Caenorhabditis elegans: one gene and its partner. The protein of the gene in region 2 purifies or fractionates together with the protein of the main gene of each other region. This does not show direct contact. Each region holds a gene or a part of one and is shown on either strand. Other genes may lie near its edges. The genes, in order: dnj-30 and hsp-75.

The links.
Region 1: the proteins of hsp-75 (region 2) and dnj-30 fractionate together in Caenorhabditis elegans (co-fractionation; one large-scale study listed by BioGRID). This does not show direct contact.

The regions. Positions count from the first base shown.
Region 1 is NC_003279.8:2,716,273-2,723,548, forward strand, and holds dnj-30 (J domain-containing protein), read right to left. Parts: upstream 5,204-7,276; 5' UTR 5,198-5,203; coding exon 5,168-5,197; intron 4,719-5,167; coding exon 4,398-4,718; intron 2,996-4,397; coding exon 2,832-2,995; intron 2,058-2,831; coding exon 1,856-2,057; 3' UTR 1,755-1,855; downstream 1-1,754. Other genes in the region: lin-17 (Frizzled-4), read left to right, coding at 958-1,083; Y71F9B.6 (Cyclin N-terminal domain-containing protein), read right to left, coding at 6,247-6,492.
Region 2 is NC_003281.10:7,221,514-7,228,868, reverse strand, and holds hsp-75 (Histidine kinase/HSP90-like ATPase domain-containing protein), read left to right. Parts: upstream 1-2,161; coding exon 2,162-2,362; intron 2,363-2,679; coding exon 2,680-2,907; intron 2,908-2,960; coding exon 2,961-3,346; intron 3,347-3,396; coding exon 3,397-3,615; intron 3,616-3,661; coding exon 3,662-4,027; intron 4,028-4,079; coding exon 4,080-4,276; intron 4,277-4,386; coding exon 4,387-4,470; intron 4,471-4,578; coding exon 4,579-4,790; intron 4,791-5,390; coding exon 5,391-5,516; 3' UTR 5,517-5,636; downstream 5,637-7,355. Other genes in the region: R151.8 (Myb-like domain-containing protein), read left to right, coding at 1-310, 356-477, 529-695, 966-1,500, 1,551-1,651, 1,699-1,900; der-2 (Derlin-2), read left to right, coding at 5,740-5,826, 5,909-6,139, 6,343-6,541, 6,638-6,834.

The DNA of each region.
Region 1 (7,276 bases), on a different chromosome or scaffold from region 2:
TTCTAGAAAGTATAACGTCTATATCTCGACAACCAAATTTTTTTGGTGAAAGTTTTTCACTAAAAAATTCTAGATGAAGTTATAATCTACAACTTTTTAGTTGATCACTTTTTTGTCAGATTTTTTTCAACGGAGCTGCATAGCTTCAAAGACAAGATGTTTTATAAAAAATAGCATTAACCACTCGGCCATTCAATCGGTGTTCGCTGTTGTAAAACTTTTGTGTAGCCTTTTTTACACGTGAAAATATAGTTCTCAACGAAAGACAATGAGAAAGTATTGAAAATCATGAGGCGCAAAGACCAATTTTCAGACGCAAAAATTTCAGATTTATAGGCAAAACTGGCAGAATTTTATTTTGTTTTCGAGTAGCCAGTAACATGAACTTTCGATTGGTATACTTTTTCTTTGTCCTTTCCACGGATCAAGTACGGGGTTCCCTTGTTAGGAAAAAAAACATTTTCTAAGACTAAAGAGGAAAAATGAAAAATGTATATGGAGAAATTAATGACAATTTAATTTAATTTGAAAATGAGGGCATGTAATTCACAAGTACCAAAAAACAATCTAAGGTGAGTATTTTTCGCAAAAAAAAGAAAATTTTAAATTGAGAAATTCCTTTTAAAAAAGCTTTTCTTTTTGAAAGCAACCAAAAAAACACAGCAATTATTACAGAAATACAAAATTCTGAGAATGCGTATTGCACAACACATTTGACGCGCAAAATATCTCGAAGCGAAAACTACAGTAATTCTTTAAATGATTACTGTAGCCCTTGTGTCCATTTAAGCGCTACAGTTGTCATTTAAAGATTTACTGTAGTTTTCGCTTCGAGATATTTTGCGCGTCAGATATGTTGTGCAATACGCATTCTCAGAATTTTTTTGCTTCCGTAATGAACCAAACTTGACGCGCAAAATCCAAAATTTTCACTTAAAAATTTCGCAAATTTTTCAGAACCCAATCGAGCCATCAACACGTCCATTGCTCGAGCCACCAACTGCTCCGCCACCACAACCACCGGTATACATGCAAATGGCGACGAATCCTCAGAATTCATGGAGACCCAGTAAGGTCGTCTGAGCGAGATTTTTCCGCGCCCATTTCATCCCAATTTCCCATGACAAAACCGATGATCTTTATATTATTTTTTGTTTGTTTTTAATGCATTCAACCATCATTTCTTCTCTCTTTACTTTTGATTTACGGGTTTTTTCTACTTTTTCCGAAATTTTTTTTCTTCAAGGAAACTATAATAAAAAATTTTTCACAAAAAACTTGTTGAGATTTTACACAATAATGCAGAGGTGGGCGGCAAACGATTTTTTTCCGGCAAATCGGCAATTTGCCGGAATTCAAAATTTCCGGCAAATTGGCAATTTGCCCGAATTGATATTTCCGGCAAACCGGCAAATTGCACGAATTTAAATTTTTGGCAAATCGAAAAATTGCCGAAAATGAATATTTCCCGCAAATCGGCCAATTGCCGGAACTGAAGTTTTCGGCAAATCGGCATACTGGCAATTTCCCGATAAAAATTTGCCGAACGGCAATTCCACTCTTGTATTAATGATGGGAATACGTTTTACTTTTTACTTTTAAATTTGGTTTATCGTTTTTTTTTGAATTTTCAAATAAATTTGGAAAAAATTGAAAATATCCGGAAATTAAATTTAAACAAAAATTAAAACTTCAAAATTTCCAGTTTTCGTAATTTTTTGGAGGTTTTTAATGGTTTTTTTACAAAAAAAATTCGAATAAAATAATTTTTTACAAAAACTTGTTGAGATTTTACACAATAATGATGGGAATATAATGAATGAGAATAAATAGAAAAATTCAAAGAGATCAATAATTATTTCTGAAGTTTAACTTTCGGAGGTTTGAATGCTGCACCCTTCAACGTCTTTCCCTTATCCTCTTTTTTCGCCTTTTTCGCCTGGAAATTTCTCCAGCTTCCGGAACGTTCGTCACGAGATTCTTCGTAGTTTTTCGCGAATTCTTCGGCCAGTTTACGCTTCTCTGCTGCTTGGACTAACGCTTCAGTTGAGCGGCGTCTGAAAAATTTTTGTGATTTTCTTAAAGGCAATTTTTGAATGCAAAAAATTGTTTTCAAATGAGTTTTCAGAAAAATGTAATTTTTAATACAACATTTTTTAGAGCAAAATTCGAAACTTCCCAAGAAATTCTAGATTTTAGATATTTTAACCCGAAATTTTGAGGTTTTCCGCTTTGGAAAATGAGAATTACCAATTATTGTATTTTTCTTTTAAAAAAGTCGGATTTTTATCAATTTATCTTATTTTCTTCAAGGATTTTCAGGAAAACTTCAAAAAATATATGGTTTTGATATAAATAAACCTGAAAATTTTCAGAAATTTTTGGCAAATTCAATTTTTTTTAAATAATTTTTTTCTTAATATCTGTTCAATTTTTGCATTTTTTATTAAAAATTATTCAGTTTTTTGAAATAAATATCTGAAAAATCAATTGTATTTTATTTTTCTTAAAATTAAAAAAGTTTTCTTAAAAAAGAAACAGTAAAATTGCCAAATTTACTTTTTTTTTAATTTTTAAAAAATTGTTTTACATTTTTTACTTGATTTTAAGCAAAAAACCAAAAAAATTACAAAATTAATTTTTTTAAATTGGAATTTTTCTTCTTTTGTTTCTTCTGAAAACTCGGATTTTTGTGATTTTATCTCAATTTTTCTTTGTTATTTCCGATTTTTCTATTCCATTTTTTTTCAATTTTTTCAATTTTTTTCAATTTCTAATTAGAAATTGATCCTAATTCGGTTTTTCTCCAATTTACTATCAATTTCCCGTACTTTTCCTCATTCGCCCTCTCTTCAAGCATCTTTCTCTTCTTCTCTCGATCAGCAAACACTTTTGTTACAGTAATCCACAGAGCTTTCTTGTATCCAGCTGGATCATCTTCTTCAATCACATCTTCTTTTCCATCTTTTCGCAATTTTCGCTTTTTCTCCGACATCTGGAAGAAATTCGGTTTTTTTAAATGAATTTTTGAGAAAAAAAATATACAATTTTTGATTTTTGTTAACGATCTTGGAGGTAGGATTGCACAGTCTCCTCGGCGTCGAATTGGGCTGGGGCGCACTTGCTCACACCTTGGCGCAGCCGGGGGAGGGAGTGAATCTTTTTAGTGTTGAAAAATAAACTTCGTCGTTTTTTAGCGTTGAAACGAATTTTTTCGCAGATTTCGAACTTAAAATTTGTTTATTAGCACAAAATGAAATGAAAGACCATTAAAAGAGAAAATTTGGTCAAAAACTGAAGGAGGAGTAGGGATATTAAAAAATCAACGGTAAAAATGGTGTTTCTCTAAAGAAATCATATTTTTCTTGTATATTTCAAGTCACCCACCTTCGCGATCATCTTCTTCATCCTGAAGATAATTATCAAAAGAGGCGGGGCTGTAATTTTGGAATTCTAGCCTATTTTCCGCGTAATTTCTGAATTTCGGAAAATCCACAAAATGCGCTAGCAAAAACGCGAAACGCGCCAGTAAGCAGTTTTTTGTGCGCTTTCGATGACGAGGAGACTGTGGATTGTGGTTTTTTTTTGGTTTTTTTCAACAAAAAAATTGAAAAATGTATTTTTTAAAATTTTATATATATATATATATTCCCTCGAATTTCGTTCACTTTTCATAATTTTTGTATAAAATTACAATTTTTCTTCGAAGAAACATAATTTTTTGATTAAAATTTGCTTCAAAAATTTTTTTTTTTAATTTTTAGGATACAAACTAATTTTTTTCGTGGTCTTGGATTTTCGAGTGAATTTTAAAAAAACAATTTTTACAAAAAAACGAAAAATTTCCGAATTATATGAAATTTTTTGCGAAACTACGTTTTCTTCACAAAATAATCAAGAAAAAAACGATTTTTTTCCAAAAAAACGTTAAAAAAGTAAATTTTTGATAATTTACTTTTTTTCAATTTTTTGGAAAATTATTTTTAAAATAATACGCTTTTGGTTTATATCAGTAATTTTGTTTTTTTCTAGTTTTTTTTCCTCATTTTTTGAAGAAAAAAAATATAAAAAATAATTGTCTTCAGATTTGTTCAAAAAATATTTTGCGAAAATTGCAAATTTTTGGCTTTTTCTATTTTATTTTCACATCAACATAAATTAGAATTTTTTTTGTTCATTTTCTAAAAAAAAATTTTTTTGGATTTTTCGATTTTCAGTGAAAAACTACAAAATAATGAGAAAAATGGGATGAATTTTTGTGATTTTTCTTTCGTTTTTTTTGATTAAAAAATCGAAAAAAAAAATCCAAATTTCGGCATTTTTTTTTTCCAGAAAAATCCAATTTTTTAAAAAATTTTCTCAGAATTTCCATGCAAATCTTCATAGTTGCTCCGTACCACAATAGCAAGCCGAGCTTTTCCCTCCGTATAACAATCTTTGCATCGATTCAACTCAATCGGATCCTCCATTTGCTTAATCGCCTTCTTCACAATATCAAAAGCTTTGTCAGCACGTTCTCGATCATCTGGATTTTTATCCGGATGCACAAGTAGTGAGAGCTTCTTGTATTTCTTCTTAGCCGCCTCGATATCCGTGTCCAAATCGATTTGGAGCACTTCATATGGGTTAAGGTTCAAATATGTGGAACCGGGCTTCAAAAGTCGCTCGATTTGTTGCTCAGAAGTAAGAGCCGCGTCCTGTTGCTCCGTGGATTTTAGCTGGAAAAATTTAAAAATGTTTTTAAAATTTTTAATGGTTTTTTTCAACTTTTTCAAAAAAAAATTGGTTTTTTTTCAAATTTTTCTCTTGAATTTAAAAATTTTTGAGAATTATTTTTGAATTCCCGCGCATTTTCTGGCCATATTTTGTGGTTTTTCTTTGGATTTTTAAAAATTTCAGCCAAGTTTTCTTTAAAAAATAAAAATTTTATTTGGAATTCGCGATTTTGAAGCCAATTTCAAAGTTTTGGCGAAATTTTATTTTTTTTATAGTTTTATAATTGATAGCCAGCTGAAAAAACTCGCTAAAACTTCAAAATTGGCCCTAAAATCGATATTTCCACATAAAATTAATATTTTTTCGCGGAAAACTGTCTGAAAATTCGAAACATTCCAGAAAAACCAAGAAATGTACACTTTTTTCAAATTTTTTGAAAAAAAAAACTTACATCCTGATAAAATGACTCAAACTGGGACATTTTTTGCTGGAAAAAATTTTTTTTTTAAAATTAGATTTTAGGAAAAATATTAAGGAAAAAAATATATAGACAATAGCGACATTCAACGCAAAAAAATCGAAAATCTGAAGAAAAAATAAGGGAAAAAAAACCAAATTTATTAAATTTGAAAAATGTCGACTAGAAATAATCTCAAAAGGGTCATGGATTGAGTACATAAAAACTAATTGCATATTATTTAAACGCGGAAAAATCCGTATTTTAAAACCAAGTTGCAAACGCGCTCCTCTGCTAAAAGTTGGGTCTCGTTAGAAATGGCGGCCAAATCTAAATATTTTTAACAATTTTCGATGATTTTCACCTCGAAACCAACGAAAAATCATTGAAAACTTTTGAAATTACGGTTTTCTCGCCAATACTTAAAGGTGGACTACGCTCAGTGGGGAAATTGCTTTAAAACATGCCCATGGGGCCACAATGACAGAATATCATGATAAAAAAATTCAAAAAAATTTTCTAGATTTTATGATTTTTTGAAAATTGAAAAAATCACAGTTTTCAACCAATTATTTTTGAATTGAAAATGATTAAAACTCTGATATTCTGAGTTCCGACGACAACAAGCCTGAAATTAGTATATTCACAGTTTTACTCATTTTCAATTACTTTTTAACAAACATTTTGCGTTTGTCTTTTTTATTTCTTTCATTTTCCGAGGAAAAAACATAGAAAATGAAGAAAATCAGTCAAATAACGAGAATAAATAAAATTAATTAATAAAAATAATGCAAGCGCGCTCAATCGAACGAATCCGATTGGTGGAAATTCAAAAATAATTAGGTGAAAACTGTTATTTTTCCAATTTTCAAAAAATTATATAAAATCTAGAAAATTTTTTTGAATTTTTATATCATGATATTCGGTCATTGTGGCCCCATAGGCGTGTTTTAAAGCAATTTCTCCACTGAGCGTAGTCCACCTTTAAGGAGACCCAACTATTATCCGTGGAGCGCGCTTGCACCACGATTTCAAAAAAGCACATTTTTCTGCGTTTACATAATAACAATATTTCACATCTCAAATTGCAATCTATCTACATGTGGTTGAATCTCATCAATTGTTGGCTGAAGCCTGAACTGGAGCACCGAGCAAATTGGAAGCTCATAAGCCAAAAGATCGGATTTCGGCTCGCGGAGCTGATCTTCGGCCTGTTCGATGTACGATTTGATCGTAGACTTCTTGTAATCATTCATTTTAAGGGCGACGAGGAGAGCGGCTCCGGCGACACATTTTCGATTGACTTTTGAGATTAGACCCTGGAAAAAAATTGATTTTAGATTTAAATAGATATGAAAATCTCAAAAAAATTGAAATTTAAAAAAAAACCAGCTTTGATAATAATTATAAACTGATTTTAGCTTAAAATCGACTATAAAATATTTTAAAATTTTTAAAATTGCCTACAGTAACCTTAAAGGCGCATACCCTAATTGCTTTACAAATTTCGCGGCGAGACCCATCCTCCTCCAAATGTGGCCTCCCTGTAACCATTTTCAGATTTTTTCTTGAATTTTCCGACAGTTTCTCAAAGTTTAAGCTTTTAAATAATTTTTTAGACGTAATTTATGCTATTTTCTATTTTTCGTTGCATTATGTCGATAATAAACTAAAATTAAAGTTTTTTGGCCTAAAATTCGCTCTAAAAATTTAGATTTTCTCTGGAAAAAAAGATTTTCGATTTAAATCGATTAGAAACTGTTTTAAAAACTTAAAATTGTCTACAGTAACCTTAAAGGCGCATAGCTTAATTGCTCAACGAGATTCGCGGCGAGACCCATCCTCCTCCAAATGTGGCCTCCCTTTAACCATTTTCAGATTTTTTCTTGAATTTTCCGACAGTTTCTCAAAGTTTAAGCTTTTAAATCATTTTTTAGACGTAATTTATGCTATTTTCTATTTTTTGTTGCATTATGTCGATTATAAACTAAGATTAAAGCTTTTTGGGCTAAAAGTCGCTCTAAAAATTTAGATTTTCAATGGAAAAAAAAGATTTTCGATTCAAATCGACTAGAAAATGCATTTAAAAAGTTTGAAAATTGC
Region 2 (7,355 bases):
TTCATGAGACAACGTAATCAGAATCCATTTCTTCGTGTTAAACTCAATGCAAACGATCGAATCACAAAACTTCTCGAGTTTTTGCACAAAAAATGGTCATTGGCAGGAGATTCTACCCCTATTTCAGTCACTTTATGGCCGGATAGTTCTTGTGAAATAGCGAGTTTATGCGTTCAATCGGCCGAAAATTCACCGTTCATCTCGTTGTCTATGAACAAATTGATTAAGAATGTAGAAGAGAGTAAGGAGAAGCTGGAAGCTAAGAAAATAGAAGTAACTGGAATAAAAGTGGCGACGGATGTTAATATCAGTTAGTTAATGATTCAGTTGACAAAAACATTTATTGTTTTTTCAGAAACAAAACCATCTCATACTGTAACTTATCCAAGACCTTTCACGTTAACCGATGAAATTATTGCGGAAGGAATAAATTCTAAAAATGTTCGAAATGCAATTGTGGCGGAACTTTTTTGTGTTGTAAGTTAATTTAACACTCTTATTATCAGTTTTATTTGTTCTATTTTTCAGTGTGGCCGTAAAAATCCAATCCAATTAAGATATCAAGTTCATAACGAGAACCAACCTATTCAAGCATCTGAACCCTGGAAAGTAATGATTAATCTATTAAATAGAGGATACGGAGATTGTTTGGCGCCGAGTAAGACCAGAAAAAGAGACAAACCAACGGCAGATTCGTGAGTCGCTTTTTCCTCCGATCCGAGTATTTTCAATTTTCAATCCGAGTCAAGAGTGTCATTAAAAAATTAACATTTTTGGGAACATCGAGAGATCAAAAAATATTTAGTAAATTAACAATAAAATTAAATTTTTCATCAAATTTTGATCATGTTGATGAAAAACATAGCTGCTAAAAAAATGACAAAAATTTAAGATATTTTTCTAAATATCGAAAAAACGAAATTTTTCGATGTTCCAAAAAGCTGTTGTTCCAAATATCATTACAGAGAACCAAGTTCGTCAGCTTCGAAAAAGAAAAAATGTGATGATACTACTTCGGATGTTCCTGGCAATCCAGTGAGCGACATCGTTCGACAAGAAACTGAAGACTTTGCATGTCAACTCGCATTTCTTAAAAAGACAACTCGAAAGAAGACTGCTCCAGCAAAACGAAAACCAACGAATCCAGTACTTGCAACAGTTACTCCTCAACTACTGATTCGTCCGCCACCCGGAGAGTCAAGTTCCGCTCCTGCGATTCAGGATCTTATGGTGAAACAAGTGTTCGCAGCACCAAAAACTACAATAATTCCGAGAAGAACCTCTACATATTCGGAAAAGAAATCTCTACTTCTATCAAATGCTCATAAAATATCAGAACTCACTGCAACTTCTGACTCACCAAGTACAAGTACTCAAGGACCAACTGATTTCTCATCTGTCGTGTTCTCTCCAACAAAACGAAGTGCAGATCCTGAATTGCAAAGAAAAAGAAATGATGCATTTTTATCATCTCTACGTACACCAGATCCAACTCCGAAGGTATGCAATGAGACAATATCGAATTGTAAAAAAATCTTCTAATTTTTCAGAAAGACAGCATTATGCAACAATATTTCGGTGGAGATCTATCAATGTCACCTGGATCGACACGACATGCATCTCATTTGGAAACTCCTGGAGGAAATAACACGTAAGTAAAGAAATAATTTGATAACAAATAATACAACTGATTTTTAGAACAATTGACTTCACCGACATGATGTACCAGAATATTACGAATCACGGAGATCTGACTACAATTTCTAATCCGGCTCTGCATTTCTCAGTTAATGAAGTTCACGAAAAATATCACGATATGATTTCTTCATCGCAAGATAGTCAGGATTACATTCTATCGCACTTTCAGAAGAAGAAGACCACGCCCAAGAAGAAAAAATAGTTTTTTTTGCTTTCTGATATTGAATCTCACGAATTGTATTTTCTTAAATATTCCATATTATTCATTTTCTGTACTACACTCAATTTTCCATTGAATTTCAGGTTTTTACTTTTTGCATTCCTTAATATTTCGATTCTTGCTTCATAAAATTTTTTTATACTGTTTTATATCTGCCAAGAGTTGTTTTATGAACTGGTTTGTTTTCCAAATATCATTATCTCCATCCTATTGCCTTTCCAGATCCAAAAATCATTTTATTAGATGTCGCTCCCGGTACGGATGTTAACTGGCAGGATCATGCGAACAATGAGATACGTAGCTCCCATCACCGCTTCACATTTCACCCCTTCTGTACCAACACAACGGAGATGGATGGCTTCTGAACCACAGAGACATGAATTCCAAGCAGAGACACGGAATCTTATGGACATTGTCGCAAAATCCTTGTATTCACACAGCGAGGTAAATATTTTTTAAAAAGTTCAATATAGCCCAGACACAAAATTTTTTGAATTTTGCGTCAAAAGTACGGTACCCGGTCTCGACATGAACTTTGACAAATCGTGCGAAAACTTCAAAAAAGCGATAAAAATTCTGCAAAAACGAACATTTCAAATTACAGTACTCTTTAAAGGCGCACACCTTTTTGTCTTTAACAAAGTTTGTCGTGTCGAGACCGGATACCGTATACTTCGCGAAAAAAATTGGCAGAATATTTCCTTATTCTCAAAAAATATAGGAAATTGATGTATTCCACAAGTATTTAATTTTTGTTTTAGGTATTTGTTCGCGAGCTCATTTCCAATGCTTCGGATGCTCTTGAGAAGAGACGATACGCAGAATTGAAAGGTGACGTGGCAGAAGGTCCAAGTGAAATTCGAATCACGACTAACAAAGACAAACGAACAATCACATTTGAGGATACCGGTATCGGAATGAATCGAGAGGATCTTGTAAAGTTTTTGGGAACTATTGCAAAATCAGGATCGAAGGATTTCATTGAGAATGTGAGGATAAATTCTGATAAAACAATGAAAATCATATTTGTTTTAATTTATAGAACAAGGAAAACGCTGAAGCAGTTATTGGACAATTCGGAGTTGGATTCTACTCAGCTTTTATGGTTGCTGATTCCGTTGTTGTCACGACTAGAAAAGTTGGTTCATCGGATGCCGATGGCCTTCAATGGACATGGAATGGAGACAACTCGTATGAAATTGCTGAAACATCCGGGCTTCAAACTGGAACTAAAATTGAGATTAGACTGAAAGTTGGAGATTCGGCAACCTATGCGGAAGAAGATAGAATCAAAGAAGTTATCAATAAATATTCGTATTTTGTTTCTGCGCCAATTTTGGTGAATGGAGAGAGAGTGAACAATTTGAATGCAATTTGGACGATGCAGGCGAGAGAAGTTAACAAAGAAATGCATGAAACATTCTTCAAGTTAGTTAATGTAATTTTATTTTATAGATTATTAAATTTGATATTTCCAGACAACTCGTGAAAACGCAAGGAAAACAAGAAATGTATACTCGTCCACAATACACAATTCATTTTCAAACTGATACTCCAGTATCTCTTCGATCAGTTATCTACATTCCACAGACTCAATTCAACCAGCTAACGTTCATGGCTCAACAGACGATGTGTGGACTCTCACTCTATGCAAGACGAGTTCTTATTAAGCCAGATGCCCAGGAGTTGATTCCAAAGTAAGAGTTTTCAAATTTAAAACCTCTGAAACTCGAGTATTTGTAGTTATCTTCGTTTTGTGATTGGAGTTGTCGATTCGGAGGACATTCCTCTGAATTTATCCCGTGAAATGCTGCAAAATAATCCAGTTCTCCGTAAACTTCGTAAAATTATCACCGACAAAATCTTGGGCAGTCTTCAATCGGAAATGAAAAAAGATCCTGTGAAGTACTCGGAATTCTTCAAAAACTATTCCTTGTATTTCAAAGAAGGAGTTGTAACTGAACAAGATCAAGGAGTGAAGGAGGATGTTGCAAAGTTGTTATTATTTGAGTCTTCTTCAAAGAAGGCTGGAGAACTAACAAGTCTTGGAGATTATGTAAAGAGAATGCAAGAAGGACAGAAAGAGATCTACTATATGTATGCTAACAAGTACGTTTTTCTTGAAAGTTTAATGAAAATCAATGAGTTTGTCAATTTTCAGCCGTCAACTAGCTGAATCATCTCCTTATTATGAAGTCATCAAGTCACAAAATAAGGAAGTTCTGTTTCTTTATGATCCAGCCGACGAAGTTGTGTTCTTGGGTCTTGGGCAGTTTGGAATGAAACAATTAGTTCCAGTTGAAAAGTGGGCTCAAGAAGAAGCTGAAAAGACTGGAACTGATGATAAGAAGGATACTAGTCAGTTTCACTAATTTTTTAAGAATTTTTTTGAATTTAGAAGTTTTTACTGTTCATGGAAAAAACGAAAGAAAAAACTCCAATTCAAACTCAATAAGTTATTTATTCAGAAGATTTCCGAGATAATGAGAAGAAAGAGCTCCTCGATTGGATGAAAGAAACACTTGGAAGTGTTCGAGTTTCTGAAATTTCTGGTAAGTTTTTTTCTAAGCGAATTTTCACAACCAAAAAAACTAATTTCAAAATGTCATAATGTCCCGAAACGCGTAGAAAGCTATGCTTATTAATAATATTGTTTCTAGGCAACCATCGTCCGAGTGAGCATCCAGTCATGGTGACTGTGCTCGATATGGGAGCGGCTCGTCATTTCTTGAGAACCGGAGAAATCAAGGATATGGAGCATTTAGTGTACTTCAAACCACATGTTCATGTTAATTTAACACATCCATTGGTCAAGGCAATGTACAAAATGAGAAAAACAGATAAGGAAACCGCGGCTATTTTGGCTGAGCAGGTGAGGTTTTAAAAGAAAAATTTCGTTAAAAAAGGGTATACCCGGGTACCCGGTTTCACCACAAGTTTTTTTTTAATGCGGACAAGTGTGAGCCTTTAAAGAGTACTGTAATTTCAAATTTTCGTCGTTGCGGAATTTTTATCGCTTTTTCCTAGTTTTTGGTTAAAATTTGTGTACTATGTATATTCTTATATTGGAGTTTTGATTAAATTTTCTTCAAAAAACTGAAAAATTTATCAATATTCCGCAGCAACAAAAGTTTGGAATTACAGTACTCTTTAAAGGAGCACACGTTTTCATATATAGCAAAATAAATTCGTGTTAAGACCTGGTACCATATTTTTGGCTCAAATTTTCGCGTGTGGCTAATAATAAGGTTAATCGCAAACTTTTGCTTTTTTAAAATATCCTTTATCAAAGTTGAGTTAAATTTCAAATCTATCACAAAATAATCAGTTTGCGAAAATTGGGAAATTTTTCAAAAAACTTCCCGTTTGTTGACGTGTATTTATTATGTACATACACCACAGTTATGGTTTCTATGTTTTCTCTGTGCTCTCTCTCATATTCTTGTGTCTTTTCCTGAAATTTTTTTTTCAGATTTATGACAATGCTCTAATCACAGCTGGATTGATTAAAGATACAAGCCGAATGGTCGGAAGATTGAACAAATTATTGACTTCCTTGGCTGGAAATAAGGGTACAAGCACCATTTTGACGCCATAATTTCCACATTTATTTTTGTTTTTATTGTAGTTTTAGGATAGATATCATAATAACTTATTCCTTTTTTGTGTTTTTGATCTGTTGAACCTGTGCCTTTTCCCATACATTCGTTGATTTTTATTCTCGATTTTTTCAAATTAGCTAGATTTGGTTTCCAACCAATTCAGATTATTTTCTAATTTATCTTTTAGGTTAATAGTTTTTTTACAAGCAGTAGTTTCAGATGAATGGAGTAGTTGCTGCTCTGGAAGAAATGCCACCGGTAACTCGGTTCTACACAGGAGCCTGCGTGCTATTGACAACCGCTGTGGTAAGTTTTTTAAAAGAAACATAAAAATTTATATTTTGAAAAAAAAACTGTCTCTACCCAAATTGTACAAAAAATGTTACAGCATTTGGAATTCGTGACACCATTCCATTTATACTTCAACTGGGAGTTGATTATCCGAAAATATCAATTCTGGCGCCTGATCACATCATTCTGCTTTTTCGGATCTTTTGGATTTTCTTTTCTTTTCAATATGATCTTCACATATCGATATTGTATGATGCTGGAAGAAGGATCGTTCCGTGGAAGAAGAGCTGATTTTGTATACATGTTCCTTTTTGGAGCCGTTCTAATGGTAATTCTATGAGTTTTTACTTGTTTTGGATATAATAAGAAAATAAGTCTATTTATGTTAGAATATTAATTATTTTTTCGATGATCTAGTGAAGGTGAAAGTATTTGAATTTTAACATATTTTTTTTAACTGATGAAATATTTAGCAATTTTTCAAACTTATCCATTTTCTTTGAAAATATTGAAATGTTTCTTATTTTTCAGATTCTATCCGGAATCTTTGTACAAATTCTATTTCTTGGACAAGCATTCACTATTATGTTGGTCTACATATGGAGCCGTCGTAACCCAATGATTCAAATGAACTTCTTTGGTGTTTTAACATTCACAGCTCCGTATCTTCCATGGGTTCTTCTTCTTTTCTCACTTTTACTCGGAAATAATGCTGTCGTTGATTTTATGGGTAAGGCATTTCATGAATAATTGTTTTATATTGTCATAATCTTTAATGTTGCAAAAGATTATACATTTTCGTTTAAAAGTTGAATTATTGTTCCAGGAATTGCATGTGGACATATATATTTCTTCTTGGAAGATGTTTTCCCATTCCAAGAGCACGGAAAACGATTCCTGAAAACTCCACAGTGGCTTGTATATTTGTTTGATGAACGCCGACCGGAACCTCTGCCTGAAGATGAAAGACCCGGTGGATTTGAATGGGGTGATGAGCAACCGGAACAAGAACAACATGATTAATTATACAATGTTTTAGTATTTTTGAAGTTAGACATCTATTTCGCGACTGAACGTATAATTTTCTCATATTACCTAATTATTATTTTCTCTGCTCTTAATTTTTGAATTCACTCGTGGGTCTCTATCGGTTGTCCTTCCATCATTCTACGTTTTCTGTGAATATTCTCTCGCAATTCTATGTTCCAAAGATATTTCTTGCCTTTCAAAGTGCACAGTTTGATTCCCTATTTTATGTAAGTTATTTTCTCATAAGCGGGATGGTGTAAGTTCTCGTTTAGTAAATGCTCATTAACTAGCCACGCATCGAATTTCTCCACAAGAAAGAAATTATTCTGATCTAATGCCAAATTTTGAAGGAAATTCCGGACGATGAAAAGATGCCGTCATTCAACAGAAAAAAACCATCAGCAGTCTGAACCCTCTCCGTTGCCGTTGAAATCCCGAATGAAAATCAATTATTATTAATAGAAATTGATAATTCTCACCTTACAGATAGTAAAATGCCGGTCTTCTGCTGAAAA